Linked DNA regions of Anolis sagrei. Each later gene encodes a partner of the first gene's protein in a complex. Links are inferred from orthologs where the notes say so. Each region holds a gene or a part of one and is shown in the gene's direction. Other genes may lie near its edges.

What was found.
Region 2: the proteins of GNAI3 (region 1) and RGS2 are in contact, whole or in part, in a crystal structure (PDB 2V4Z), measured with the Homo sapiens proteins. The link is inferred for Anolis sagrei from reciprocal best matches to the Homo sapiens genes GNAI3 and RGS2. Residues at the interface, in NP_006487.1 of Homo sapiens: Val179, Lys180, Thr181, Thr182, Gly183, Ile184, Val185, Gln204, Ser206, Glu207, Lys209, Lys210, His213, Ala235, Glu236, Asp237, Glu238; in NP_002914.1 of Homo sapiens: Glu104, Phe105, Glu108, Asn109, Glu143, Ala144, Pro145, Glu147, Ile148, Asn149, Asp151, Phe152, Leu180, Asn183, Ser185, Arg188.
Region 3: the proteins of GNAI3 (region 1) and CASR are in contact, whole or in part, in a cryo-EM structure (PDB 8SZH), measured with the Homo sapiens proteins. The link is inferred for Anolis sagrei from reciprocal best matches to the Homo sapiens genes GNAI3 and CASR. Residues at the interface, in NP_006487.1 of Homo sapiens: Ala31, Lys32, Gln304, Glu308, Lys314, Asp315, Thr316, Lys317, Glu318, Ile319, Tyr320, Thr321, Phe334, Asp337, Ala338, Thr340, Asp341, Ile343, Ile344, Lys345, Asn347, Leu348, Glu350, Cys351, Gly352, Leu353, Tyr354; in NP_000379.3 of Homo sapiens: Lys644, Ala645, Asn647, Arg701, Val702, Val705, Phe706, Ala708, Lys709, Pro711, Thr712, Arg716, Trp719, Phe801, Ile869, Val872, Arg873, Thr876, Ala877, Ala880, Phe881, Lys882, Val883, Ala884, Ala885, Arg886.
Region 4: the proteins of GNAI3 (region 1) and GRM4 are in contact, whole or in part, in a cryo-EM structure (PDB 8JD6), measured with the Homo sapiens proteins. The link is inferred for Anolis sagrei from reciprocal best matches to the Homo sapiens genes GNAI3 and GRM4. Residues at the interface, in NP_006487.1 of Homo sapiens: Ala31, Lys32, Val34, Lys192, Asp193, Leu194, Thr219, Phe336, Thr340, Ile343, Ile344, Asn347, Leu348, Cys351, Gly352, Leu353, Tyr354; in NP_000832.1 of Homo sapiens: Pro616, Lys619, Ala620, Gly622, Arg623, Glu624, Arg676, Ile677, Ile680, Phe681, Gln683, Gly684, Lys685, Arg686, Ser687, Val688, Ser689, Ala690, Ile694, Ser695, Pro696, Phe781.

Annotation. Positions count from the first base shown.
Region 1 is NC_090024.1:184,493,913-184,500,800, reverse strand, and holds the start of GNAI3 (guanine nucleotide-binding protein G(i) subunit alpha-3), read left to right. Parts: upstream 1-3,882; 5' UTR 3,883-4,017; coding exon 4,018-4,135; intron 4,136-6,888. UniProt on the Homo sapiens protein: Heterotrimeric guanine nucleotide-binding proteins (G proteins) function as transducers downstream of G protein-coupled receptors (GPCRs) in numerous signaling cascades.
Region 2 is NC_090024.1:116,337,389-116,344,251, reverse strand, and holds the start of RGS2 (regulator of G-protein signaling 2), read left to right. Parts: upstream 1-3,850; 5' UTR 3,851-3,920; coding exon 3,921-4,030; intron 4,031-6,863. UniProt on the Homo sapiens protein: Regulates G protein-coupled receptor signaling cascades. Inhibits signal transduction by increasing the GTPase activity of G protein alpha subunits, thereby driving them into their inactive GDP-bound form.
Region 3 is NC_090022.1:198,540,896-198,548,901, reverse strand, and holds the start of CASR (extracellular calcium-sensing receptor), read left to right. Parts: upstream 1-4,996; coding exon 4,997-5,181; intron 5,182-8,006. UniProt on the Homo sapiens protein: G-protein-coupled receptor that senses changes in the extracellular concentration of calcium ions and plays a key role in maintaining calcium homeostasis.
Region 4 is NC_090024.1:188,836,017-188,843,794, reverse strand, and holds the start of GRM4 (metabotropic glutamate receptor 4), read left to right. Parts: upstream 1-4,775; 5' UTR 4,776-5,320; intron 5,321-7,778.

The DNA of each region.
Region 1 (6,888 bases):
CTAGATGGCAACACAGACCCAAAAATCTTTATTATAGCTGCATTTCCTGACAAAACTGGTTTAATTTATGTTTGTTCTCTGTCTGTGGGTACCAGTTACAAAGGATTCTTTTGTTTTTTTTTTCTTTGGGAAATTATGAGCCTCCACACCTACTTCTAAAGTAGGAGGGAGTGACAGATTTATCACCTGCAACAGGTGTCTCACTTTCTCCCTCCCAGTGTCAGGAAACTAATTCTGTACTCATTTTGTTTGGGACAAAAGACACAGTAAATGTTTTATAAATGTCTGCTTGTAGATAATACTCTGATAATCAGCTCCAAATAGAGAGGCAATCTTGATAAAGCTTAGAAAAGTCCCTTTTTTGGAGATCATATCCCAGTACCTACTAGATATTAGGATTATGGGATATGTAGTCCAGAAAAAGTATCTTTCCAAAGCTCTGATCTGGAGTAGGTATGCAGTATCCAGAAGCATGTGTGAGGCAATGTTCAGGTCAGCCAAATTATTTTCGTGCTAGATTCACCCTACACTAAAGTGATAACAATTCCTTATATTCATTCATAAAGAGGAAGCCCATGCCTCCTTCCCTCCTCTTCCATCATTGTCATCATCGTCATTAAAATATTTTCCCTCCACACAGAAATTCAGGCAAGAGGGAATAAGCAATCCTACAGAAAATTTATATGCACCCATCCCTTCACATTTGCATTTTTGACTTGTGAATTTGATTATTCATGGATCTGATTAAAATTGTCTCTGTAGGAATCTTGAAGTCTTCAAGTGTGTCTTTATAGCCACCTTCATCCAATCATGAATATCTCCCTAGGAATCTCTAAGTACTGCATTGCATTTCTATGGTCAGCTTCCAGTAGACAGTAAAATAAAGAGTTATGCTGAAAAATATAGAAATTCCTAGAGAGGTTCTATCTCTGGTTAAAAAAAATAGTAAATTCGTGTTTTTTCTCTTTCAGGGGGGGTCCCACTTCTATGACAGGCATCCTCAGAGGTTGTGAGATCTGTTGGAAACTAGGCAAGTGAGGTTTATATATCTGTGGAATGTCCAGGGTGGGAGAAACATTCCCTAGAAAAGGTCCCTAGAGGGCGACAGAACAGCCTGTACACCAACTTCTCTATTTTGGAGACTGGGTTATGAAATGGGAGGAAGAGTCACAATTTCCTTTTTAAGGGTTGTTCCTGTAACACACAATCCACAGACACATCCTGTTTCATTTATTTTTCTAGTTACAAATTGGACTCTTGTCCAATTGAGTGAGAGCAGAATGTTTAAGCCCCATAGTTCCAGAGGATTGTTAAGAAGATCCCAAAGACCCAAATGTTGGAAGTATTTTGTATTAAATTGAGCTACAGCTGTCAAGAGAGAAAAATAGCCTGCTGTCTGAGTGAGCATAGCCTCCTAGTATGTTCCTACTTAAGCCACCTGTGACTGGGCAAAGATACAGACAGTTGTGCATTTTGTTTCAGTCTCATGTCCATCCTTTTCTGCTGTCATCTTCTATTTCTCTCTATTGGTTTTTACAGTGGCTTTTCTTATCCCTTGATAAACAGTTGCATTTAGAATTCTGACTCTGTTTCTCTCCATTTTGCATTTACATTTCATCTGCCCTTAAGCTACTTGAAGAGTTTCATTTGTGGAAACTTTCTTTTCTTTGCTTTCACTCTCTTTTTTTGCTACAAAAGTGTCTTTTTGTATTCCTCCCCAACAAAGTCCCTGGCTTCAGATCTGGCTCTTGGTGAATTAGGCTTAATAGCGCAAATCTATTTCTACATTATATTTAAATTCTACAGTGATGTTCTTGGGTTGTATTCTGGCATGACAATTGGCTTAGTGTCCTTCAACTCTACTTCAGTTTTTGAAATTCATGGTCTGTGCCACATTCTGCTCCTGGTCTTGGGGTTTTTTGTTTGTTTGTTTGCAGAAAGAATGTATCTTCTCCATTTTCTGCATCCAGATATGTACTTTATATATGTAATTTTCTGGTTCAAAACGTCCTATTCTTGTCCACTGTAATTTGTTCACCCCAAGTATTGCAAGGTTGATACATTCAATTCCCTGGTTAATGTTTCTCACAATCCACTTTCCTATAACATGTGCAGCCTCAGACTTCCTTTTTACCTTTCATCATGTCAACAGCTGACAAGTCCCTTTGACTTGAATCCAGTTTAGTTTGGCTCCAAATAAAAAAATTGTCAGACATGGGAGCCCATACCAGCACCATTGCTTCCACCAGCATAGCCTATTTGCCATGGCTCAATGTTAGGGAATCCTGGGAATTGCAGATTGGGAAGGCTGGGCAGAGAAGGCTCATGACCTTATACAACCTCCATGATTCCACGACTACAATTATGTAGTTATAGTTTCAGTTATTCTATAACTACATGATTCTGTAATAGGCCTGGGCAAATTCGGGCCCTTTCTCCAGGTGTTTTGGACTTCAACTCCCACAATTCCTAACAGCCTCATGCCCCTTCCTTTTTCCCTGAGGCTGTTAGGAATTGTGGAAGTTGAAGTCCAAAACACATGGAGAGATGGCCCAAGTTTGTCCATGCCTGGTATATACCCATGTGTACGTCAACCTCATGTATAAGTCAACCTCATGTATGGCTGTTGGGAATGGTGGGAGTTGAAGTCCAAAGGGGCCTAAGGTGAAAAAGGAAGGGGCCTGAGGCTGCTGAAGTCCAAAAGTGGCTGAGCGGGGAAAAGAAAGAGCCTGAGGCTGTTAGACATGGTGGGAATTGGAGTCCAAAGGGGCCTAAGGTGAAAAAGGAAGGGGCCTGAGGCTGCTGAAGTCCAAAAGTGGCTGAGAGGGGAAAAGGAAAGGGCCTGAGGCTGTTAAGAATGGTGGGAGTTGAAGTCCAAAGGGGCCTAAGGCGGAAAAGGAAAGGGCCTGAGGCTGCTGAAGTCCAAAAGTGGCTGACAGGGAAAAGGAAAGGGCCTGAGGCTGTTAGGAATGGTGGGAGTTGAAGTCCAAAGGGGCCTAAGGAGAAAAAGGAAGGGGCCTGAGGCTGCTGAAGTCCAAAAGTGGCTGAGCGGGGAAAAGAAAGAGCCTGAGGCTGTTAGACATGGTGGGAATTGGAGTCCAAAGGGGCCTAAGGTGAAAAAGGAAAGGGCCTGGGGCTGCTGAAGTCCACAAGTGGCTGAGGAGGGAAGGGAAAGGGCCTGAGGCTGTTAGGAATGATGGGAGTTGAAGTCCAAAGGGGACTGAGGCAGAAAAAGAAAGGGCCTGAGGCTGCTAGGAATGGTGGGACTTGAAGTCCAAAGGGGCCTGAGGCGGAAAAGGAAGAGGCCTGAGGCTGCTGAAGTCCAAAAGTGGCTGAGAGGGAAAAGGAAAGGGCCCGAGGCTGTTAGGAATGGTGGGAGTTGAAGTCCAAAGGGGCCTAAGGTGAAAAAGGAAGGGGCCTGAGGCTGCTTAAGTCCAAAAATGGCTGAGAGGGGAAAAAGAAAGGGCCTGAGGCTGTTAGGAATGGTGGGAGTTGGAGTCCAGAGGGGCCTGAGGCAGAAAAGGAAGGGGCCTGAGGCTGTTAGGAATGGTGGGAGTTGAAGTCCAAAACACCTGGAAGGAGGGTCCAAGTTTGACCATGCCTGTTCTATAGTTATAGTTATGGACTCCTGCGCCTGTAAGATCACAAGCCTTCAATGTTTCCCAAACGCTGGTTTCGCAGGTATTTTGGACTTCAGCTCCCTAGAACCCCTGACCATGGTCCAAAGCAGCTGAGGCGTTCTGGGAGCTGAAGTCCAAAACATATTGGAGAACTATTGTTTAACAAAACCCCGGGGTTGTTCTTCAACTACATTTCCCAAGATGCACTTCGCCTTTCGTCGGTCGGTCTGGAGTAGAGGAGCGGAAGCAGGCCAGTTTCCGGTGCCTCTCTCGTTCCGGCCCCTCCCTTCCCCGTTGCCTCCCAACTCGAGTCGCGGCGACCGTTGAGGAGAGAGAGAGCGAGAGAGAGGCAGAGAGGCGCCGCCTAAGGCCTCTCCCGTCCCTCACCGCCGCCGCCATGGGCTGCACGCTGAGCGCCGAGGACAAGGCGGCGGTCGAGCGGAGCCGCATGATCGACCGCAACCTCCGCGAAGACGGGGAAAAGGCGGCCAAGGAGGTGAAGCTGCTCCTGTTGGGTGAGGAGAAGGAGAAGGAGGAGAAGGGTGGGGCCGGGGCCTTAGGCGGGGGGAAGGCGGCGGTTAGGCCCAAGCCACGCTCTTCGCCCCGGTACAGTTCGCAAGGGCCTGAGACCCAGCCCTGCTCGAGCACAGTTTGAATTCGTCCAGCCTGGCCCCACTTCAGCCGCCATGTCTCCGTGCTACAGGATCAGGGGAGTCGTGGCGTTGCGAGGTCTTGGGCCTTCTCTGCCAAAGGCTTGTGGGGCCTCTCCGAACCACAACACCCAGGAGTCCATCCATAGTAGGCTTGGGAAAACTTGGGCCCTCCAGGTGTTTTGGACTTCAACTCCCATCATTCTTGACAGCCTCAGGCCCCTTCCTTTTCCCCCAAAGGGGCCTAAGGCGGAAAAGGAAAGGGCCTGAGGCTGCTGAAGTCCAAAAGTGGCTGACAGGGAAAAGGAAAGGGCCTGAGGCTGTCAGGAATGGTGGGAGTTGAAGTCCAAAACACCTGGAGGGCCCAACTTTGCCCATGCCTAATATAGAGGGACATAGCCTGATCCATAGCCGTGAACCGCATTAGTTGAAAGGGATGTCAGACCCCATTGATTCTACAGTGTAGATCAGGCATGGGCAAGCTTCGGACTTCAACTCCCATAATTCCCAACAGCCCTTAGATCACTTTTGTTTTGAATACACACCGCTTGAAGGTGATTTTATGTAAAATTTTAAATTTGGTGTGTATTTATATAAATAAAAATGTAATGTTTGTTTGTGGGATTAACATAACTCAAAAACCACAGGAAATTTTGACGCCAGATTTGGGCACAATACACTTATCAGACCAATGAGTGACAGTCACTCATTAAAACACATCAGAAGAGACTTAAAAAGCCAAAAAACTAAATACATTACAATGCATGCGCAAAACCACATATATACACAAATATGTACACACAGATATACGCATATACACACACAAAACACATATACACAGACTAGGCCACAGCAACATGTGGCAGGGGATGGCTAGTGTGATATATACAGACACATACATACATAGATACACCCTGCATTTTCCTGGGTGTTCATTTTTCTTTGTGGCTCTTCTTTGCCTTCATCCACCTTCTTCCTTAATAATAATACTTGTTGTGTGTTGAAGGCTTTCAAATACTTTATTTGTAGCCCAGAGCCCCCGGTGTCACAGTGGGTTAAACTGCTGAGCTGCTGAACTTGCTGACCAAAAGGTCCGTGTTTCGAATCTGGAGAGCAAGGTGAGCTCTCACTGTTCGCCCCAGCTTCTGCCAGCCTAGCAGTTCGAAATTATGCAAATGCGAGTAGATCAACAGGTACCACTTCAGCAGGAAGGCAACTGCGCTCCATGCTGTCATGCTCCATGCAGTCCATGCATCTATGGACAGAAATGACGATGAGGTCTACTGCCAAAGTCGGACATGACTAGACTTTATGTCAAGGGGAAACCTTTACCTTTATTTGTAGTCCGCCCTATCTCCCTTAGGGGACACAGGACGGCTTCCAACATAATAAAAGCAAACATTCAATGCCTGTATGAAACAAAGTAAAAATATAGACAACAAGTAAGACAATACATTACACAAGTTAAAACAAGTAATTTAAATAATGATAAGTGAAAGCGAATGCCTTCCTTCACTTTCCATTTATACACCTTCCCCTTCTTCTTTCCTTTCTCTTCCATTTTTCTACCCTCCCCTCATACCTTTCCCTCGCTTCCTTCCTTTTTTCTCCCCCTCCATTGCTTACTTTCGCTTCTTTTCTCCCCTCCCCCTACATATGTCTTCTAGTATGAGCTAATCAGCTTCACTCCTCCTTTCTATCCCAGTCACATGGACAGAGGGCCACTGCACCTAGCAACAGCCAATCCACTTTGTGTCTTTTCGTTCCCTCAGCTCTGTGCCAAAAAATGGGTGGGTTCTTTTTAATTCAAACTCATTATTTTAAGTTGGATAATGAACGGTACGTGTGCCAAGTTTTGTCCAGATGCATCAAGCCTTTGTGGTACAAATCAGTCAACTAACATGTATGCATATGTCCATTCTTTGACTTAGATCAATTGTTCCCAACCTTTTTTTGACCAGGGACCACTCCAACATTAGTACCAAAAGGGTTACGAATCAGTTTTTGGTCAACTTCAGATTTGGTTTGGTTATTTGGCGTGCTGATTCAAAAAACTGCATTGGAGAGACCACATCAACTCTAGTTTCTGATCCAGAACATATGCCATCCAGTAGTTGCTATCTGCTAGCCCAAAAAAAAAAACCATATTAAAAAAGCCTCAGCAATATAAGAGAGTTTTGCGAGACCCGTCGCTCTCGTTGCAACGATGTGGTAATAGTGAGACCTTAAACCTTATTTTAGTTCTTGCGGACCACAGGTTATATATATCATCTTGTTCAATCTGTGCAAAAGGAAAAACTTCCCAAATGTCAGAAATGTGGCACTTCTTATAATAAAGGAAAACCAGTTCCTACCCACACAGGGTTTGCTTGAAGCTATCATCTGCTTTCCCCATGGTTCCCTGAAAATCTTTGCTAAGAAATACAAGATTCAGACTTTTCCACATTTACATATAAAGTGTGATGGCAGGGGAGTAGATTGTTGAGATACTGAGTAGGTTAGACTTTGTTTGAAGCATGGTGGTTTGGATGTTGATGTTTGTAGGCTGTAGCAACATCATCCTGCCTGTGACCTTAACTACAGAGTTAATGATCCACTGTAACTTTTTTTAAGTCACT
Region 2 (6,863 bases), about 68 Mb from region 1:
GAGATGCTAGCGGGGTACAAATAAAGTTTAATAATAATAATAATAATAATAACACAGATAAAACATATAATCATACAATGCTTACATTAAAACACAACACCACAAAATACATATATTACAATACATCTATTACATGCCTGTTTTCCTGACTGACTGGATTATATGGCAGTGTAGATCCATCCTCTGATGCTTCTTCCCTGATGTTTGACTGGTTTGGTGTGATTTTTCCCCTTAAGTGTGTACAGGATCACAGCCCAGTCCAACTGCATTCAATGGAACGGATTTAGTTTCATCATGATTTTGCTAATGTGTTTTTGGTAGGTAAAACACCCCTTTGAGAATCTGCTAAGCACAAGGCATCCTTTTCCAAAGCCAATTTTCAAAACCATATGAAAGAAGCTGAAGGGATGGGGATTTTTAAATTTATTTTTCCTGGCTTATAGAAATCACCCCCACAACCCCACCCATGGGCATCTTTGTGTAGATTTAAAAAGCAAGGATTACTTGTGCATGCATCACTGAAAACCTACGGCTGCAACGCAGCCCTTCTGCCATTCACCAGGAAAGTGGCATCTTGTTCAGATGTGATCCACTCCATATATGGTCTTTGCCATGAATCCGTCTGCAAACAAAAGAGGTACCCAAAGTTTAAAAAAACACGCCTACAGATTGAGAGAGATGCAGAACTCTGTATTCAAATATGTATGAATAGAAAAATATTTGAATAGCTCACGACAGCAAGAGTAGTTGACTGTAGAACTGTCACATATTAACTGTGTATATAACTGGGTTAATATATCCCTGCAGAACTCTGTATATATGTGTATATATCTGTGTGTGCTAATATATATATATATATATATATGGATGTGTGTATATATATGTGTGTGTGTGTATTGTTGTTTATTCATTCAGTTGCTTCCGATTCTTCGGGACCTCATGAACCAGCCCACGCCAGAGCTCCCTGTCAGCCATCACCACCCCCAGCTCCTTCAAGGTCAGGCCAAGGATAACATCCATCCATATCTGTATATGTGCGCGCAAATATATATATATATATATATATATATATATATATATATATATGCATGCATGCATGCATGTATATACTATGTGTATATATGTATGTGCATAAATACATATGCATGTGTGTATATATGTATATTGTGTGTATATACATGCAAAATATAAATGCATGTGTATATGTGTGCATATATATATGTACTGTGTGTACATATATGCATGTGTGTATATGTCTGCATAAATGTGTGTATATGTGTGTAAATGTATATCTGTATATATGCATGTGTGTGTATATATACATACAAATATATGTATGCACATATATTTACACACACAACATGCATATTTAAGTGTATGTGTGTATTTGCATGTGTGTATCTATGTAAAGTTTGCCCCATTTCTGTCGTTTGTGGGTTTCAGAATGCTCTTAAATTGTAGTGAACTATAAATCCCAGCAACTACAACTCCCAAATGTCAAGGTCTATTTCCCTTAAACTCCATCTGTGTTCATATTTGGGCATATGGAATATTCGTCCCAAGTTTGGTCGAGATCCATCATTGTTTGCGTCCACAGTGCTCTCTGGATGTAGGTGAACTACAACTCCCAAACTCAAGCTCAATGCCCACCACACCCTTTTAGTCTTTTGTGTTGGTCATGGGAGCCCTGTGTGCTAAGTTTGGCCCAATTCCATCATTGGTGGAGTTCAGAATGCTCTCTGATTGTAGGTGAACTATAAATCCCAGCAACGACAATTCCCAAATGACAAAATCAATTTTTTTGAGTGGAGGACATATATTGGACTGTTAGGTGTCTAGTGTCCAAATTTGGTGTCAATTCATCCAGTGGTTTTTGAGTTCTGATGGCAGCACGAACTAACATTACATTCAGTTCTTGTGGGGTTTTTTCGGGCTATATGGCCATGTTCTAGAGGCATTTCTCCTGACATTTTGCCTGCATCTATGGCAAGCATCCTCAGAGGTGAGGGCTGCTGGAACTGGGAAAAAAGGGGGTTTATATATCTGTGGAATGACCAGGGTGAGACAAAGGGCTTTTGTAAGTTGGGCTAGGTGTGGATCTTTCAACTGACCACCTTGATTAGCATACAATGGGCTGACTGTGCCTGGAGCAAACTCTTCTTGAAAGGTGATTAGATGTCCCTGCCTGTTTTTCTCTCTGCTGTTTTTGCTGTTGCAATTTTAGAATTTTTTTTTAATACTGGTAGCCAGATTTTGTTCATTTTCATGGTTTCTTCCTTTCTGTTGAAATTGTCCACATGTTTGTGGATTTCAATGGCTTCTCTATGTAGTCTGACATGGTGGTTGTGAGAGTGGTCCAGCATTTTTGTGTTCTCAAATAAAATGCTGTGTCCAGGTTGGTTCATCAGGTGCTCTGCTATGGCTGATTTCTCTGGTTGAAGTAGTCTGCAGTGCCTTTCATGTTCCTGGATTCTTGTTTGGGCAATGCTGTGTTTGGTGGTCCCTATGTAGACTTGTCCACAGCTGCGTGGAATACGGTAGACTCCTGCAGAGGTGAGAAGATCCCTCTTGTCCTTTGCTGAACGTAGCATTTGTTGGATTTTCTTGGTGGGTTTGTAGATTGTTTGCATGTTGTGTTTCGTTGTGTGTATATACATGTATATACAAACAATCTACAAACCCACCAAGAAAATCCAACAAATGCTACGTTCAGCAAAGGACAAGAGGGATCCTCTCACCTCTGCAGGAGTCTACCGTGTACCATGCAGCTGTGGACAAGTCTACATAGGGACCACCAAACGCAGCATCGCCCAGACACGCATGAAGGAACATGAAAGGCACTGCAGACTACTTCAACCAGAGAAGTCAGCCATAGCAGAGCACCTGGTGAACCAACCTGGACACAGCATATTATTTGAGAACACAGAAATGCTGGACCACTCCAACAACCACCATGTCAGACTACACAGAGAAGCCATTGAAATACACAAGCATGTGGACAATTTCAACAGAAAGGAGGAAACCACGAAAATGAACAAAATCTGGCTACCAGTATTAAAAAAAATCTAAAATTGCAACAGCAAAAACAGCAGAGAGAAAAACAGGCAGGGACATCTAATCACCTTTCAAGAAGAGTTTGCTCCAGGCACAGTCAGCCCATTGTATGCTAATCAAGGTGGTCAGTTGAAAGATCCACACCTAGCCCAACTTACAAAAGCCCTTTGTCTCACCCTGGTCATTCCACAGATATATAAACCCTTTTTTCCCCAGTTTCAGCAGACCTCACCTCTGAGGAAGCTTGCCATAGATGCAGGCGAAACGTCAGGAGAAATGCCTCTAGAACATGGCCATATAGTCCGAAAAAACCCACAAGAACTGAGTGATTCCGGCCATGAAAGCCTTCGACAATACATTAAAATTACATTTTTATTTATATAGAGATATGCATGCACATTTATATATAAATATATATATAAATATTTATATAAAAATAATTATATATATAAATGCATGCACATTTATATATAAATATATAAATATAAATAAACACACACATATATATGTAAATTATATATATATTCATGCACATTTCTAATTCTCAGTCATGTCCCCAGTTTGCAGGCGACTCCTCGTGAGGTCTATTTTTTGCCACAAACAGCAACTCAAAAGACAAAAAAAAAAGGGCAAGAGGGAGAGAGGCGCGCGCCACCTACGTCAACGCTGTTCTCCTGAGGACGCGGGGCTCGCGCGCTCCTTGTTTGGGGAGGCCTCCCTCGGCGCAGCCAATCAGCGATCCGGGGGAGGGAGGTGGGCGTCTCCCTCCCAGCCCTCCGCCTCTATAAAAGGACCAGCCGGGCGGAGGGGAGGCTCAAAGCGTGGTCGCCAACCTTGGAAGCTTGCTGGATTTCCTTGCGGGGATTATGCAGAGTGCAATGTTCCTGGCTCTCCAGCACAACTGCAGCACGATGGAGAAAAACGCCAGCCTCTGCCCGAGCAAAGAGGAGAAAAAGGGGAAGATGAAGAAAACTCTGTAAGTGTGCAGGAGGGGGAGATGGGAAGGGGCTTCCAAATGCTGACATAGCGACTAAAATGATCAAGGGTCTGGAGAACAAGCCCTATGAGGAGCGGCTTAGGGAACTGGGCATGTTTAGCCTGAAGAAGAGAAGGCTGAGAGGAGATATGATAGCCATGTATAAATATGTGAGAGGAAGCCACAGGGAGGAGGGAGCAAGCTTGTTTTCTGCTTCCTTGGAGACTAGGACGCGGAACAATGGCTTCAAACTACAAGAGAGGAGATTCCATCTGAACATGAGGAAGAACTTCCTGACTGTGAGAGCCGTTCAGCAGTGGAACTCTCTGCCCCGGAGTGTGGTGGAGGCTCCTTCTTTGGAAGTGTTTAAACAGAGGCTGGATGGCCATCTGTCAGGGGTGATTTGAATGCAATATTCCTGCTTCTTGGCAGGGGGTTGGACTGGATGGCCCATGAGGTCTCTACCAACTCTTTGATTCTATGATTCTATGATAGCAACTAATGCGGGGTCAGTCAACTTGAGAAACTGCAAGTCGCTTCTGGTGTGAGAGAATTGGCTGTCTGCAGGGAGGTTACCCAGGGGACACCCAGAGATTCCATCTGAACATGAGGAAGAACTTCCTGACTGTGAGAGCCGTTCAGCAGTGGAACTCTCTGCCCTGGAGTGTGGTGGAAGCTCCTTTGGAGGTTTTTAAGTAGATGGCTATCTGTCAGGGATGCTTTCAATGCAATATTCCTGCTTCTTGGCAGGGGGTTGGACTGGATCTGTAGTGTAGATGCACCTCAAACAGCCCGAACAGGGTTGTGGTTGATAGCAGGACAGCCTGTGGCATGTTGGGGACCAATTTGGAAAATCCTATTTTAAGATACAGTTGGGAAAGGTCAGGTTTGTTGTTGCCAAACTCCTTTGCTGCAAAGTAAACCCAGGAGAAAGAATAGCTCTGGATCTGGTTGGGAGGGATTGAGTTACCTGCATCATATTTGCAGCCAATCTGTATTTCACAACTTGGGGTGCTTTTGCTGTATTCAGGCCCCTTCCACACAGCTGAATAAAATCCCACATTTTCTGCTTTGAAGTGTGGACTCGGATAACCCAGATCAAAGCAGATATTGTGGGATTTTCACCCTTGATATTCTGGGAGATAGAACCAAAGAGTTGGAAGAGACCTCATGGGCCATCCAGTCCAACCCCCTGCCAAGAAGCAGGAATATTGCATTCAAATCACCCCTGACAGATGGCCATTCAGCCTCTGTTTAAAAGCTTCCAAAGAAGGAGCCTCCACCACACTCTGGGGCAGAGAGTTCCACTGCTGAACGGCTCTCACAGTCAGGAAGTTCTTCCTCGTGTTCAGATGGAATCTCTGGGCGTCTCCTGGGTAACGTCCTTGCAGACGACCAATTCTCTCACACCAGAAGCGACTTGCTGTTTCTCAAGTTGCTCCTGACACGACAAAAAAGAAGAAGATGGAATTTCCTCTCTTGTAGTTTGAAGCCATTGTTCCGCGTCCTAGTCTGCAGGGAAGCAGAAAACAAGCTTGTTCCCTCCTCCCTATGAATTCCTCTCATGTATTTATACATGTCTCCTCTCACTCTTCTCTTCTTCAAACTAAATATGTCCAGCTTTTTAAGCCACTCTTCACAGGGCTACTTCCAAGCTCAAAGGAGTTACTTGGAGGGCAGAGAGTCCCTTGTAAAATCTTGCAGTTTAACTAAAGATTGCACCTCTTTGTAGAGATAGGGTTGATCCTTGGATTGTCGAAGGCTTTCATGGCCGGAATCACTGGATGTTGTAGGTTTTTTCGGGCTATATGGCCATGGTCTAGAGGCATTTTCTCCTGACGTTTCGCCTGTATCTATGGCAAACATCCTCAGAGGTAGTGAGGTCTGTTGGAAGTAGGAAAATGGGTTTATATATCTGTGGAATGACCAGGGTGGGACAAAGGACTTTTTTCTGCTGCAGCTAGGTGTGAATGTTTCAACTGACCACCTTGATTAGCATTTGATTGTCTGGCAGTACCTGGAGCAATCCTTTGTTGAGAGGTGATTAGATGTCCTTGTTTGTTTCCTCTCTGTTGTTGCACTGTTCTAATTTTAGAATTTTTTTTAATAATGATAGCCAGATTTTGTTCATTTTCTAATCACCAGAACACCTGGGGACCCACAGGTTGAGAACCACTGTTCTAGAGGCATTCTCTCCTGACGTTTTGCCTGCATCTATGGCAAGCATCCTCAGGCGAAATGTCAGGAGAGAATGCTTCTAGAACATGGCCATATAGCCCGAAAAAACCTACAACAACCCAGTGATTCCAGCCATAAAAGCCTTCGACAATACATTGTAATATTGATAGTTTCTTTTTAAGGAAAGGGAATACAGTGTGTTGAAGGGTTTCCTTGCAAGGAAAGCACTCAGGCTTTTATACTTTATATATCCTAGAGCTCTTTATATATATATATATATTCTTTATATATCTTGGTCACAGGGAGTAGGAAGCAAGCTTGTTTTCTGCTGCCCTGGAGACTAGGACGTGGAACAATGGCTTCAAATTTCAAGAGAGGAGATTCCATCTGAACATTAGGAAGAACTTCCTGACTGTGAGAGCCGTTCAACAGTGGAACTCTCTGCCCCGGAGTGTGGTGCAGGCTTCTTCTTTGGAAGCTTTTAAACAGAGGCTGGATGGCCATCTGTCAGGGGTGATTTGAGTGCAATATTCCTGCTTCTTGGCAGGGGGTTGGACTGGATGGCCCACGAGGTCTCTTCCAACTCTTATTCTATGATTCTTCCACACAGCCATATAACTCAGAATAGCAAGGTGGATAATCCACAATATCTGCT
Region 3 (8,006 bases), on another chromosome or scaffold:
AACAGATTACAATAAAATAAAATACAAATTACAAAAAATAAACAACATCGCAGTAAAATACAAAACATATGAATACAATAAGCAGTATACACAAAACCTAAGAAAGCAATAAACAAACATAATGACAGTGAGCGGGCTGCATGTACAATAAAATGGTTTAAAAACTCAGGGTGAGATAAAAGGAGCAGATTATTTGCATGGGAGAACTCAGTGTAATAGACATACCTTTGTACAAGGGCGGGAGGGGGGGGGGATACTCCTAGGACAGAAACATTGAGGGGGAGCAATAGCTAAAGCTTGTGTGGCTACTCTCCAAAAGTGCAGCGGCAGAGCCAGGTCTTGAGATTCTTTTTAAAGGTTTCTAGGCTAGGGACTTTCCTAATCTCACCGGGCAATGAATTCCAGAATCGAGGAGCTACGGAGGAAAGGGCTCTCTCCCTTGTATTATTATTATTATTATTATTATTATTATTATTATTATTAATCACCATCATCATCATCATCTTTATTTTTAACCTGTCCCCTCTTCCCAAAGGAACTCAGGGTGGCTCCCAAAGGCAAACATAGGAATCAAACAAGCAGTTAAATCAAATAGTTACAAATAAACCAATAAAACAACAAAGACTAAAACATGTAGTCAATCAACCTCATAAATAACACCACAGGCTGGTAAAATCCATATAAAAATAAAAAATACACAAGCATATAAACATGACTCTCTAGTAAGTTAAGGAAATATAATCACTGTCAGCATCGTCAGACAAGATAAAAGCAATAATAAGCTAATCATCTTCCTCCCCAAAGACCAATGTACAAAAGTATGTTTTTAAGTGCCTCTAAAAGGAAAAGGAGTGAAGAGACTCTTCTGATTTCCACAGAGAGGGAGTTCCAGAGGGAAGGAGCGATCACTGTGAAGGCCCCACTCTCATGTTCACACCAACTACAATTGAGACAGGGGTGGGACTGAGAGCAGCCCCCCTCCCCAATGACCACAGTGTCTGTATTGGTTGCGGAATGCGTTTAGTTAAATAGCCTGGACCCGGACTGTTTAGGGCTTTAGGGCATGTTTATACAAGGACCATTTTATTTATTTTAAAGGTAGTTCAGGCTTTGCTTTGGGATGCTCTTATCTTTCCCTAAAACATAGATTTGTGCTCTTTCCTTATGTTTGTTGGCTGTTATTTCTGATTTGTTGTTAAAAGGTTTTGCGGATTTGATTTTATCACTGAAAACGTAACTGGAAGATGTTAAGCACTTTTTCCACTCATACTGGCTATTTATAGCACTGTTTTCCTTTTTTAAAAATGGTTTCTTTTTCTTAGACTTATCATATTGTTTATGTAAGCCATCTTAAATAGCAAGAAGCATAAAACAATTGCTCTTATAAATAAGTAAAGCTATTTGTGGGGTTGCACTAGTTTCATTTGTCTTTCTGCTTCTAACAAGCAACCAGGGAAATAATTGGAATAGTAGGGAATTTAGTGACATCTCATGATTTGCTTGAAAGTCATAGATTGATAGCATAGCCTAAAGTACAAATGACTTTCCAACTCCATTTATTCATAGGGATACTATGAGAGCAATGGCATGGATTTTAAGGAATGTTTTGAAGCCCAATAGCTTATGAACTGGACATGTTCCGTTTTCTTATTTACTTAGGCAATCCCTTGTTGTCCCAAATATGACAGCCTTCCAAGTGTAGTGATGGTGGTTACATGACTGTGGAGCCCTATTCTTGATTCGCATGTTCTTCCACAGTGAGGGAAGTGCAGGTCTCTTCCAAACACCCTTTATCCCAGAATATCAAAGCAGAAAATCCCACAATATTTGCCTTGAACTGGATTATCTGAGTCCACACTCAGATAATGTGGAATTTTCCGCCTTAATATTCTTGGGTATAGGGCTGTGTGGAAGGGCCCTCAGTTTAAAGTGATGATGGTTACCTTTAAAGTCCTAGATAAATTTGGTCCAAGGCATCTTCCGTTGACCAGAAGCTATCGATATTCTACACATCTCAGCAGAGATCCTCTTCCAAATCTTTCCATGGTCTGTGCATTAGGTGGGTAGTGAAAGAGCAGAATACTTTCTTGATTGTGTCACCCCAAATGTGAAAAAGCCTGGTCCTAAATTTGATGTCCATTTAGAAGCAGGGAAAGACAAAGTTCTGCAACTTTCCGACAGATTTGATAGTAAGTTTCAAGTGGCAGTTTTTCTGTGTACAGTATTTTATGGACTTGCATTGTTGCTACTTCTGTGACAATTATTTCATTGGCATTTGTTTATTTTGGTTATTTACATATGAGAGATGGTTGGCATATTTTACATGGCAAAGTTATAGATCAGTGTAATAACCAAATAATGAAGAACATCTAGGTCAGAGGTATGAATTGTGGCCTTCATGGATATCCAAAGGATTCAGTTCTGCCTTCTATGTTTTCTAACATCTACATGTAGCTGCTAGGGGAAGCCATCTGGAGTGTTGTGGCTGTGTGTCGCCAAAGTTTTGATGATCCCAGATATAGCTGTCCTTTACAACTGTTGGCAGGGAGGTAGTTGAAGTCCTGAGTCATGCAAAGAAGAATTGGATGTCGGCCTACAAATTGAAGATCAAACCATACAAGATAGGAGCACTGATGGTCGGGAGGAAGTCTAACCTGGAATTTGGAATCGTTGCTGTTCTGGGTATGCTTGCACTCCTGGTGAAAGCACAGATTCATAAGGATGCTCTTGGACGTAGGACTGCTTTAAGGCCAGGTAGCTGCAGTGGCCAGGAGTGTACATGTTCTGCTTCAGTTGGTTCAGCTTGGCAATGTTGTGCTATCATGCCTTAGGCCACATCTACACTGATCACTTAAGTCAGTTTCAAACAGGCATTGAAGAAAGTGATTCCACTGAGCAGATTATTACATAGGAAACCCTGGAACCAGTTTGATGCCCCGGCAATTATTACACAGAACATTGATGTGCTTTAAGGGCTTTCTTTCAGACACTTCTTTCTCACAAGAGTCTGTTGTCTATCACCACAGGTTTGAAGCTAGCTTCAAGCTGCATTAAAGGTAGATGGGGCCTTAGTTGCCACCTGGTTAGATTGTTAAACATATTCTATATGATGCTGCCCTGTTCAGGCGCTGCAACTAATACAGCATCCCTACTATTGAAGGTATATGTACTTAAAGACCACATAACCATGAATCTTACAAGAACTGCACTGCCTTCCATTTCACCTTTGATAGTAACTCAGTGTGCTGATTTTGACCAGCAAAATCTTTTTAAAAGCATTGTTCAAGGATATTTGAAAGAACGCCTTCTCTCACATGAGCCTGCCCTAATTTAGAGATCCTCAGGGTTGCATATCTCAGCATCTGATAAGACTAAGTTGGTGTTCATATGGCAGGACCTTCTCTCTAGCAGAACCCTGACTGTAGAATTTCCTGCCAAAAGATGTTTAGCTGGTTCCATCTCTTCTGAGCAGGCAGCTAAAACAGTATTGTTCCATCTAGTCTTTGGTGTTTGATATTGCTCTGCTGTTTTAATTGCCTGCTTTTAAACAGTAAATAAAGAGCAACACTCAAAAACTGGGGAACTCCAGACAAGAAACAATCAGGGACAGCTAATCACATCTCAACAAAGGATTTCCCCAGGCAGCAAGGAGCCTCACCTTAAAACTGCTAGGTCATTAAAAGCTAAGTGGACAATTTCATCAAAAAGGAAGAAACCACGAAAATGAATAAAATCCAGCTACCAGTACAAAAAAAAAAACTTCCAAAATTATAACTGTAAATAAAGAACAACACTAAAACACATGGGAACTCCAGGCAAGAAACAATCAGAGATTGCTAATCACTTCTCCACAAAGGATTCCCCCAGGCAGTAACAAGCCACTTCTAAAAACTGTCAGGCCATCAAATGCTCAGCAAGGTGGCCAACTAAAACATTCATACGTAGCTCCAACAGACAAGAGTTCTTTCTCCCATAGATATAGAAACCCCATTTTCAAGAGTTCTTTCTTCCACAGATATAGAAACCCCATTTTCCTAGTTTCCAACAGACCTCACAATTTCTGAGGATGCCTACCATAGATGTAGGTGAAATGTCAGGAGAGAATGCTTCTGGAACATGGCCATACAGCCCGAAAAACTTACAACAACCCAGTGATTCCAGCCATGAAAAACTTTGACAATACATTGCCTTTAAATTGTTTATGATGAGTGCTTTTAGTTTGTTGTCAGGCTTTCATGGCCGGAATTACTGGGTTGCTGTGAGTTTTCCAGGCCATATGGCAATGTTCCAGAAGCATTCTGTCCTGACATTTCACCCACATCTATGGCAGGGAACCTCAGACCCCTCAACCTCTGCCATAGATGTGGGCGAAACATCAGGAGAGAATGTTTCTGGGACATGACCATACAGCCCAGAAAACTCACAACAACCCATTGTTTTTAGTTTCTTTTTAACATTTGTATCTATATATTTAATCTTTTAATTGTTTTTATCTGATGCGGATCACCATACGGATCCTGGTGAGCAATATCTAAATACTTTTAATAAATGAAAAAATAAAAATAAATGTTGAGAAGCCTAACTTTAAAAGTGCACCTCTGGAGAGGTATGAAGATCCTTATTGTTTAAGGTTAATGTGCTAGTTGTGAGGAATAAAAGATTAATAATGCATTTTGAGGAGGGGAGAGGGGCTCTTTCTCTGAAAGTTCAACATTATTTCTTTGTGCATCTGAGCTGATTCTTTTACATCTGTTCTGTTTTAGGCAAACTAACACTGTAGTGGTCCTCAAGAAGCTGCTGGACTTTGCAGAGTGTAATGAAGAAACCCACTGGTGAGATGGATAACTACAGCTAGTGGATTACCATCAATTAGCCATGTCTGCCAAATCCATCGTGTGCACTGTTCCAAAGAGAAACAGTTTGTTGGAATGTATTACATTTATCCTTCTTACATTTTGAAGTTTGCAAGATAATCCCTTTGTGAAAAGGAGGAACAATGACTTTTTATAGTTTTTATTTGCTTTTCTTTGCGTTTACTTGGAATACCTCTGCCTATGGACCAAATCAAAGGGCACAAAAGAAAGGAGATATTATTCTCGGTGGACTATTTCCCATTCATTTTGGAGTAGCTGCTAAACACCAGGATCTGAAGTCTCGGCCAGAATCTGTAGAGTGCATAAGGTAAGCTTACGCAAAAATATGTAATATACGCTCAAGAACTCCAGTGACCATAGTTCCCATCTCTATGAAGTGAAACCAAATGCTGATTTTGTAAATAGTCTAGAATTTGTCCTGTTGGGTCTTTTTTTAAAGTCATTTCCCACTGTGGTCACAAGTGCTGCCTATCCATGAATGTATGACGTTGTTATATTAAGTTCGGATGTTGGTTCATCTAACCCAGAATGTTATATATCTGTGATTTGAAGGTACTCCATGTATCATATCAGACAACATAGTCTCTAATGCAATTGTTATAGTGTCAGAAGTGACTTGAGAACATACTGTAAGTTGCTTCTGGTGTGGGAGAATCAGTTGTTACCATCCTGTGGGACATTTCTCTCATGTCCCTGCATGGAAAACTGGAGCTGATAGATGGGAGCTCACCCCATCTCGTGGATTTGAACCACCGACCTTCAGGTCAGCAGTTCAGCCATCACAAGGGTTTAACCTATTGCAACACCACAGCTACATTTACCAGTAAAAATGAAATGCACAGATATAGAATAGGTAACACTTTGCTGGAAAACTGTACACGTGAAAGGGATCTAGGAGTCTTAGTACACCACAAGCTGAACATGAGTCAACAGTGTGGTGCGGCAACTCTGGGTTGCATCAATAGAGAAATACTGTCTAAATCAGACCTGCACAATTTCCCAGTAGTAAGGGGCTGAAATTAGATATGCTAAGTCTCTTTGGGCTGCAGATAGCACCTCACTTTTGAATTAAGGTAGAATTGTCCTGAGTTGCCCTTCAAAAACAGCATTTAGACAATGTTGAAAGTAAAAGAAAAATGTTTTACTTCAGCAAATACAAAGGATAAGCAAATACAATTGAAAAGTGCAAAAGAAAGCAAGGTAATCTTAATCCAGACACAAATTAAAGTCTCTTACAATTTCCCAAAAGAAACAGCAGTCTTCCATCAGACAACGGTCAATGAACTAAGTCTTTAGAAGCAGACACAAAGCAGATTCCATTGGAGTGAAAACAGCAGTATCAGGATCGTTGTTACCAGCGAAAGCTGTCTGCTCCTGCTTCTGATTTATAGCCCTGAATTCCCAACGTAGGAGGTGCTAGGGCGTCTCCCAATTAGCTCAGCGTTTTTTAGCAGCTATCTTAGCTGAACACCGTCTGTGCTCTGTCTCTAAGGCTCAGAAAAACAGAAAGTCAATCAAGTGACTCCTGGGTCCTGGGGATTGTTGGCAATCAGTCTCTCAGCGGGGAGTCAAGTGGAAGAATCTGTCTTGTTTCCCAAGACAGCCACATAGTCCAAAGTCACATAAGCACTACATAATATAAATTATGATATTTGATAACCTTGGGTGTTGCCCTGATCAGCTGTACAACAGAAGCACAGTTGTAAAAACAGAATAGTAACATATTGGAGCGGGCAGTTCAATTAGGCAAAGTTTTGCAACAGTGAAGAAGTTAGAAAGGAGAAAAGGAAAGAGACAGTCCCAGAAAACCTGGCAGAGTGAATTTTGTTAATTAAAGAAATGTATGATTTCATGTGTGTGTATATGGATGCAGTCATGCTGGCCACATGACCTTGAAGGTGTCTAAGGACACCGCCGGCTCTTCAGCTTAGAAATGGAGATGAGCACCACACCCCAGAGTGGGGCACGACTGGACTTAATGTCAGGGGGAAACATTTACCTTTACATTATGTGTCGGTGTTTCCTGGGGTGACAAGAAACACCTATACATATCCTTTTATTTTTAATTACCTTGAGGCTGAGAGGGTGGGGCTCAGGAGGTGAGAGAAAGGTCAATCCTGAGTTGTTGGAGTCACAACTTAATCTTGGCTCTAGGGTTCCTTAGATTCACAAAATGATACTTGACCAGATTACGGTGTTAGGTCTTCCTGGACATTCAACTCCCCCCCCCAAAAAAAAACAGTTTCCAAAGCTCATATATCAAGTTTAATTAGCTGCCTGGGAATATGTATATGGTTGTACCCCAGGTTTTGTGAACTGTATGTGACTCTTCTCCCCTGACTTCATTAATAAAGAAAAAAAATATGTGCAAGAGTTCTCTTCCAGTGGCAAGAAAAAAGTAGTTATTTCAATGCAGATGTGCATAGTTTCCTTAATGCGGAAGAGAGAAAAAGAGGGAAATTACCCTGAGAAAGTAGATAATGGAATCTTATGCCTCCCAAGTTTGTCAGATAATAATAAAAATTCAATTCCACTTTACATCTTTTAATTAGGAACTATGAGGTGATGCTTACAAGGAAACAAATCTATTAGCATGGTAAAATTGAATTATTTATAGTGGTCACTTGGACAGCATGACACAGTTGCTGTTCCCACTCAGACCCTATTACATATTTCAAACCCAATAAATTCTGTTTGCAATCCTAAAAAGTGAGTTCTCTGAAAAAATTGCATTTTGTAGTACGGAAGTACTACATCAGTTATGCTCTCTGACATCTTTAATAGAAGCAAACTTTACAAAAGCATCATAAACCTCCAACATGTTACCACATTGAAAGGAAGTCAATCATTGGATTCCCTTTAAGATGCTTCTCCTGATCTCCCTCAGGAAGTGTGAAATTGAATTAGGCAGTCTGCTATTCAAGGATCGTGTTTTGGAGGGAATCACTTTCCATTTTTTTCTTAGCAAACTAGGATTCACTTTCCACTGATTTTTTTTTTGCATCATGTCGAGTAATCTGAAATTTATTTTAATTGGCAATCTTTAAAGGTACAATACTTAAATTCATATCCAGTCCTGACAGCATAAGGAATGTAAGAGACCCACTGAATCTAGCATACAAAGTTCCTTTT
Region 4 (7,778 bases), about 4.3 Mb from region 1:
AGATGACGTATACCTGGGTTTTGGCAACAGCAATGATGATTAGTTATTTCATATCCTCAGTTATTTTACTGGGCTGGAGCTCGGTTATGTTGTTGGATGGCAAATGAACACATGACAAGTTTGCCCTCTTGATAGTTTTCTGTAACATCAGTGAATGAATGGGACTGGACAAGGAATTATGCAATGACCTTTAGAGAAGTTCTGCATGTGCCTCAGGTGCATGACGATAATGGTCACACTGTGCAGGGATGTCATAGGTCTAAATCTCACACTCTGCCACTGGCTCTGCTCAGTAAAATGAACCCTACCTCAAGCCAGGCATGAACATCTGGCTTCTTCAATTGAGAACACTGGTATTCTTAAATGGGAGACTTGCACAGTAGGTGTCCCTATACTGCATGATTTAGAAACAAATATTATCCTTGAGACTTTGCTGTTGTCATCTAACAGCCTGATATGGTTTGTATGGAAGCTGCTTCTATATTTAATCCAACTGTTGATCTGTCATATATAATCTTTTGAAATGAAAACTATTGTCATTTGTATTGTCGAAGGCTTTCATGGCCAGAATCACTGGGTTGTTGTGAGTTTTCCGGGATGAATGGCCATGTTCCAGAAGCATTCTCTCTTGATGTTTCACCTTCATCTATGGCAGCCATCCTCAGAGATTGTAATTTCGTCAGATTCAATCACCTCCTTGTCCTTGTAGATGGGCCACCATTGTTTTGGAAAGACATGTTTTAAAAGCCATGATGATCAGTGTTTGTAGAAGCCGGAGGGATGCGAGGAGGTAAAAAGGGGGTCTTACTTTCAGATTTATTTGGTCGACTGCAAAGACAAGGAGATATAAATTGTTCTCCATGTGGCATGATACATATGACCTACTGGGAAGGAGGATAGTATTTAGCAATCTAGCACTTCAAATTTGTTAATTTATTCTGGGATGATGGGATCCAAAAAGTTCCAAAATAATTGAGGGAAAAAACCACTGAGGTGGAAAGGAAAATCTATCTTATCCTTGGGAAACTCCATTTTATGTCAGCCTTCTCCAAATTGGTGCCTTCCAGGTGGGTTGTAACTCCTATCAACCTCAAACAGCACAGATAATGGTTAGGGATGGTAAGAACATCTGGATGACACAGAGTAGGAGGGAAAGCTGTAGGTCTCTCTCTTTTTCCGAATCACATTTCTCTTTCCCAACTTGGCAGTTGGCAGTTCAAAGCCCGGCATGGGGTGAGCACTCAACCTTTAGCCCAGCTCACTGTCCACCTAAGCAGTTCAAAAAACAGCTGTTAGCTATGAGTTGAGAAATTAGGTACTGCTTAAGCGGGGAGGTATTTTATGGCACCATAAAAAGAAAATACCAGAAAATGCCAGTGATCAAAGGAAGGAGGAAGCCTGTGATCAAGGGCTTTTCATCATAAGGGATGGTACAACAGCGCCTCCCTGTGGCCACAATCAAGCACAACCTCCAGGATGCCGAAATTGGGGGAAATGCCGACATTTTTTATCTATCTGTTGTCTGTCCTGTCTGTTTAATGGCATTGAATGTTCACCATGTATGTGTTCTGTGATCTGCCCTGAGTCCCATTCAGAGTGAGAAGGGCAGAATATAAATACTGTAAATAATAAAATAAAATCTGCAGCTCTTTCCCTTCATTCAATACAATTAATTGTAGTGAGAGACCCTCCCTTTCTCTTTGTTACATTTGCTTGTGTATATAGAAGAAGGAAAAGGGCTGCAATCATGAAAATCTTGGAAGAGGAAACACAGTTCACCCCCCCCCCCCAATTCATTCTACATAAAACAAAACGTGGGGAGGGGGAATTAATTTTTGCAAAGGCAGCAAAAAAGCTCAAGCCAGCTTTGACTCCAGTACGTACAGTAATAACCTTGATGAGGCAGAATGTATCTCATACATCTGCATCTGTTCCTTGCATCCTGCTTGTTGCTAATTCCCAGGGAATTCCTTTCCTTTCAGTCACAGCTGAAATAACCAAACTTGATGATGTACCCTGTTTCTACTGAAGTGCTATAATGTGAACAGTTGAGAGAAATCCCAAGGGGGCAATCAATACCATTAATCTACTGCCTGTGGTAGGCGGGATGGTATGGAGGGGAGGGGGTGTGATTACTCAATATGCCTCAAGACTGGAAACTTACCCTTTTCTATTTGGTTACATTGTACAGATTATTAGGATCCTGTGCCATCTCTGCCCACACTTAGGAGTAATCTCTGATGATCTTGCTTGTAAGTTTTGTTTTACAACCCAAGTCCATCACTGTGTTCTGCAAATGTTTTAAATTATACATACTCACAAATAGAGTCGCCCCTGGGCTGAGAATTGCGGTATATAAGCGAAGTAAATAAATAAATAAATAAATAGACCTCCCTCCCTCTGGCTGGTGTGATTTCACCAAGGGAGCCCTCAGTGGGTTAAACCCTTGTGCCAGCAGGACTGAAGACTGACAGGTTGCAGGTTCGAATCCGGGGAGAGCGCAGATGAGCTCCCTCTGTCAGCTCTGGCTCCCCATGCAGGGACATGAGATAAGCCTCCCACAAGGATGTTAAAACATAAAAATATCCTGGTGTCCCCTGGACAATGTCCTTGCAGACAGCCAATTCTCTCACACCAGAAGCGACTTGCAGTTTCTCAAGTCACTCCTGACACGAAAAATACAAAACAAAACAAAAAATTATGGGAGTTCAGATATGCTATATAAAACAAAACATAAAATGGCTCTCTTGTTACCTCTGTGTGTTTATACACTTGAAATTGATTGCAGACTATGACTGGCATTGCCCTGGTGGTATCTGCAAGCCCTGTTGAGGTGACAGCCTGCAACATGCTGCAGATGGATTTTCATGACCAATTTATGTATCAATCATTATTATCTTGATGGACCGGAGCAGTTAATTCTGCCAATGATAATTTCTAGAGGGTCCTGTTTTGGATTAATTAATTGCTAGGGCACAGTGACTATTTCAGAGCCACCGGGATTTGCAAGTGACTTTCCTCATTAGCATGAGATTTCTTACAAATTGAGAGCTATGCTGACCATGTGTAGGCAGCATATTGTTGCTTTTAGGCTTGATTGGATTATGCCTGCTGTGTACTTCATGGCACGCACAATGGCATACAAGGGGCACAATTAAGATAGCTGTAGCTGATTGATGAAAGGTTCCATTTTGATTGTTATCCACCAAAATTAGGTGATAATTTTTATTAAACACTATAATGTGGTAAGATTGTTTTGCAGGCAAACATGTGTTTACCCCAGCTGCCTGTTCTGCTTGTTTGCCTATCAATCATTCCTACATGTATGTTTGTGCATTGTTTGGATTACTCATTTGCAATCTATTAATGATCATTGTGATTTGGGAACTACTTTCCTCTGCACGTCTCAGGAAGGAGAGCAAAGTGTTGCAGCTCTCAGAAAAACAGTTGTTCTAGTCCTATTTTGTTAATGGTGAAATAAAGATGTGGTCAGGAGCACCCTCTTCTCCAGGGGATTCAATTTCAGGAGTGAAACTCTTCAGCATAATTTGGAAGATATCCATTTTTGTGGTATTTTGCATTGCTACCATGGCACATTTCCTAACAGGTAAGATTGCAGAGGGCTAATGTATGAACAGTATATAATATAATTAAAAAGGCAATCAATTCCACTGCCATTGTCAAGTATGTTTACATGGCTGCTTTGGATATCTAGTGGTAAGATCCACAGTGCCACCTGTCCTTATAAACATGTTCTGTATGTCTTCATGTAATACACCTGATCTCATCATTTATACTGCATCTTATGGAGTCTTTTTTTCTATCTTTCTGATGTTTCCCATGCCCTGTTTTTAAAATACATGTGGAAGTATCTTCCTTCATTTTGTTTGTGTGTGTGTAGCAATGAGTCCTGTGGCACTATAACCATGAACAAATGCTTGTGCTTGCTTGGATTACAGTCGGTTTCATTAGATGCATGATGTATCCCCCCCCCTTTTTTTTACAATGCACAGCTGAGAGATTTGTCTATATTTCTGGTATTTTTGAATGGTCTGTCTGTCTGTCTGTCTATCTATCTATCTAAGACAAGAATGGTCCAAAATCAGGCTGCACATGCCTTTCTGTAGAGCTGTTTTCCGCTCCTTTTCCCCTGCCACTAAGGTGTACTAGTTCTTTAAAAGGCTGGTAGAAACCAAAGCTTAAGCAGCAGCTATTAATGCAAAACTTCCAAGCCTCCCTCCCTCTTGATCGCTGGAGATGTTATCAGGCTGAATGTAGTTTAGCCTGACTGTGGAATCCCTTCTCTTTCCTTACTCCTTTCCTTTTGGGTCCACGGAGCAGTCCTCTCTTGCAAATATCCCCAAACGGTGAGAGGAGAAGAGGGGAAAGAAAGGGGGGGGGGGCATCAGTCTTAAGAGACAGGAGGGATGGCTCCTCGTCCAGAGCCACACATTACCGTGCCTCAAGGCTGGAGTCCCGCTGGTCTATGAGTTCAATTCTAGGATTTCTTGGCAACTGGATGGTGTGCGCCTCAGCCTCGCTGCTCCCTCCGGGAAAGCCGCTTTTCTTTAGCAAAGAGTCCGAGATTCCCAGCCAGCGTCTTTCTCTCGCCTCTGGCTAGCACCTGAAGGGGCTCTTTCAGCACCACTGGAGGCGGACAGCTCCTCCGGACCAGCCCCGGCTTCCTTTCATTCCCAGGCACTTGGGAAGGAGCAGCCCGTGCGGCGCGTGGACGCGCTCGTGGGTGGACGCGCCGGCGCGCGTGCACGCGGGAAATGAGAGGGAGGGAGGGAGGGAGAGAAGGAGGGGGGAGAACTCAAACCTCCCGCTAGCCCGACGAGGTCCACCAAGATCCATTAATTACCAGGAGGTGAAAGAGGAAAGCAGGGGAGCTGCACCGGGCACGGGAAGGGCTTGTCGAGGGAGGCGAAGAGAAAAGAGGGGAGGAGAAAAGGCAAAGAGAGAAGAAGAAGAGGAAGAGGAGGAGGAGGAGGAGAAGAAGATCCCCCGCCAGGAACTATGCCAGACCCATCCTGATTTTGGACAGGAGGGAGAAGCGCCGAAGACCGCAAAAGGCAGGAAGCAAGGGACGGGGAGGCTTTTCTTTCTTTGTCAACCAGGCAGAATTCCCCCCCAAGGAGTTGAGCAGCGCAAGTGCTGGGAATAAAGAGAGAGAGAGAGAGAGAGAGAGAGAGAGAGCCCAGCGCCTCCAGAAAGTGAAGCCTGCAGGGAAGTCGGGAGGGAAGCTTGGATTTCTTTCTCTAGTCTACAACATTCCCGGCATGGGAGGATTTCACCCAACTTCGCTTGATTTCTGAGGGTGAGTAATTCCCCTCCATGGTGGTTTTATTTATTTATTTATTTCGTATCAAAAGCATTGCAAACATTAGTATAAAACTGATAAATATAGAATTGTATGATGGTGAAGGGGTTTGGAGGGATTGCCCTCAGCATACCTTCCTCAAGTCTTATCTCATGCTCTCCTTTGAATCTGGAGAAGCCTGCGATTGCCTTACCATTTGGGAATGGCAACGTGCCTCCCCTTAATCTTTGGAGGGAAAACGGGGTCTCTCTGAGATCTTTGTGCTTGGGGTTCCTCTGGAGCGAGAGGCTGTCCCGGGTTTCTCCTCCTTAGGATGCCAATGGAAGGACTGACCACCTGTGAGGAACTTTACCCTGGGTTGAGAGGGTTTCGATGCTGGAGGCGATGTTCATGAACGTGGCAGCACTGCCAGGGGGGCTGGATGGGTGATAGAAACATAGAATCATAGAGTTGGAAGAGACCTCGTGGGCCATCCAGTCCAGACCCCTGCCAAGAAGCAGGAAAATCGCATCCAAAACACCCCTGACAGATGGCCATCCAAAGAAGGAGCTTCCAACACATGATGAATGGTGTGTGTGTGTGGAAGGGATTGCAGGGCTGAAAGGGGAGATGTTCCTTGCATCCCCTCCCCTCCCGTGCGGTCAATATAGCAGGGTTCCCATCGCATGGAGAGAGGGCAGGGGGAGGAAAAACTGCAGCAAACGCTGGGGGGCATTGGAGCCAATGGGCAGGCAGACAGGCGCCTTTGCTTTTGCTCCGTTCCTATTTAGGAAAGCTCTCTCTACGCCCCGAGTTATTATTTGGCTCCAAACGCTTCAGCCTTTTGGTGACATGGACCAGAAGGACGTTTGAATCTGTTCGGGTTGCAGAAGAGTTTCTTATTCTTTTGTAAAATGGAGAATGGTTTGAGGAGCCAGTGTGATCAGATAGGGCATAGGGAAGAAGAGCTGGAAACCGGTCCAGACGCCACTTGGGTGATGTAGTGCTACGTGATGCTTCTTGTAGATGGCTCAGAAGATGCCTTTGCCAGATCTTTCGGCCTCTTTCCACCTTTCTCTTCCCGGTGAATGGCATTCATGGTTTTCTTCTGCAAGCCCCTGAGAGAGACCTGGGGATGGCTCTCCCTCCGGTGCCTGCGCTTTTCCACCTCTTTTACTATGTGTTGCCTTGGAATGGGAAAAGGCGGCGCTGAGGAGGTTTGGCTGCCTGGGCTGGAACTCTCTCTTCTCTCACACGCCTGGAGGCAATGGACCCTTTGCTGCTGTGGCTTTGGAGGCTGAGAAAGAAGCCCAAACGCCTCTCTCACTCTTCTCCATTTAGTTCAGCAAGGGATTGTTATTGTCCCTTTGGCTTGGGGATACCTTTGTAATACCTTCTGTGAAAGAACGACTCAATGGATGCGAGTTCCCCTTCGGCAAAGTTGTGTTTCTGTGAATGTCTGTGTGCCTTTAAGTCTCCTGTCAACTTATGGCGACCCCAAGAATCCTATAGGGGTTTCTTAGGCAAGGAATCCAGTACTCAGAGCTATAGGAGAGAGAAAGAAACACACAGGGCATGGAGCTGTCCACCATGGCTCCCTAGTTAGACAGCTCCTTCTTCAGGTTAACTTTTTTCTTCCCACATCCCCAAGAACTCAAAATCTGGCACATTTCCCTGGCATTTTGCTCATTCCTAATAAAGGCCCAGCCCTGAATTTTGTCTGAGCTAGCCAGTCTTCCAGGGAGGCCACTATTATGCATCACTACAATGGTCTCTTTGGATTTCTCAGGCAAGAGGAGAAGCAGAGGTAGTAGCTGCCAGTAGAAGGAAAGGTGAGATGAAGTTCTTATTTCTGCCTTCAGCAGTAGCATAGGCACAAAGATTGGTGTTTTCACTGCAGGTAGGAAATTACTTGGACCTGTGCTGACTAAGTCTCACAGCTTCTTGTGAATGGAAGTGGGGAGGCACCCCATCTTGGTAGGATTTTGTGATGAAGGGCACGATAACCAGTCCACTTTGCATCCTCTCACTTCTTCCTTTGAGAGAGTTGCTGTTTTTGAAATGTATCTCAGAACACCAGACTCAGACTTCTGCTTATACAGTGTAGTAGAAATGAATTTGACTTGCATTTCCTTTTGGGAGAGCTCTCTGAATGCTGTTTGGTGAAAAACAGATCTGGGATATCTACATAAAAGGAAAGTTGGTGGGACATAACATCCAAAACACCCATTTCTGAATGCCCCCCTGAATTGCAGCTTCCATACTTGTTTGTTTTTGTCATGCCCTTCCAGACCTGGCAGGCAGTGTTTTCTGCTCTGAAATCCACCACGATCAATTTGATTATATCAGCACTTATGAGGCTCAAGTATGAGTCACGGTTTATTGTTGACTCACCTTTGGCCTTAGGTTGAAGAAGATTTTACAAGGTATCACTGAAACAAGCTGAAGGATTTATAGCACCAGGGGCTCATAGCAC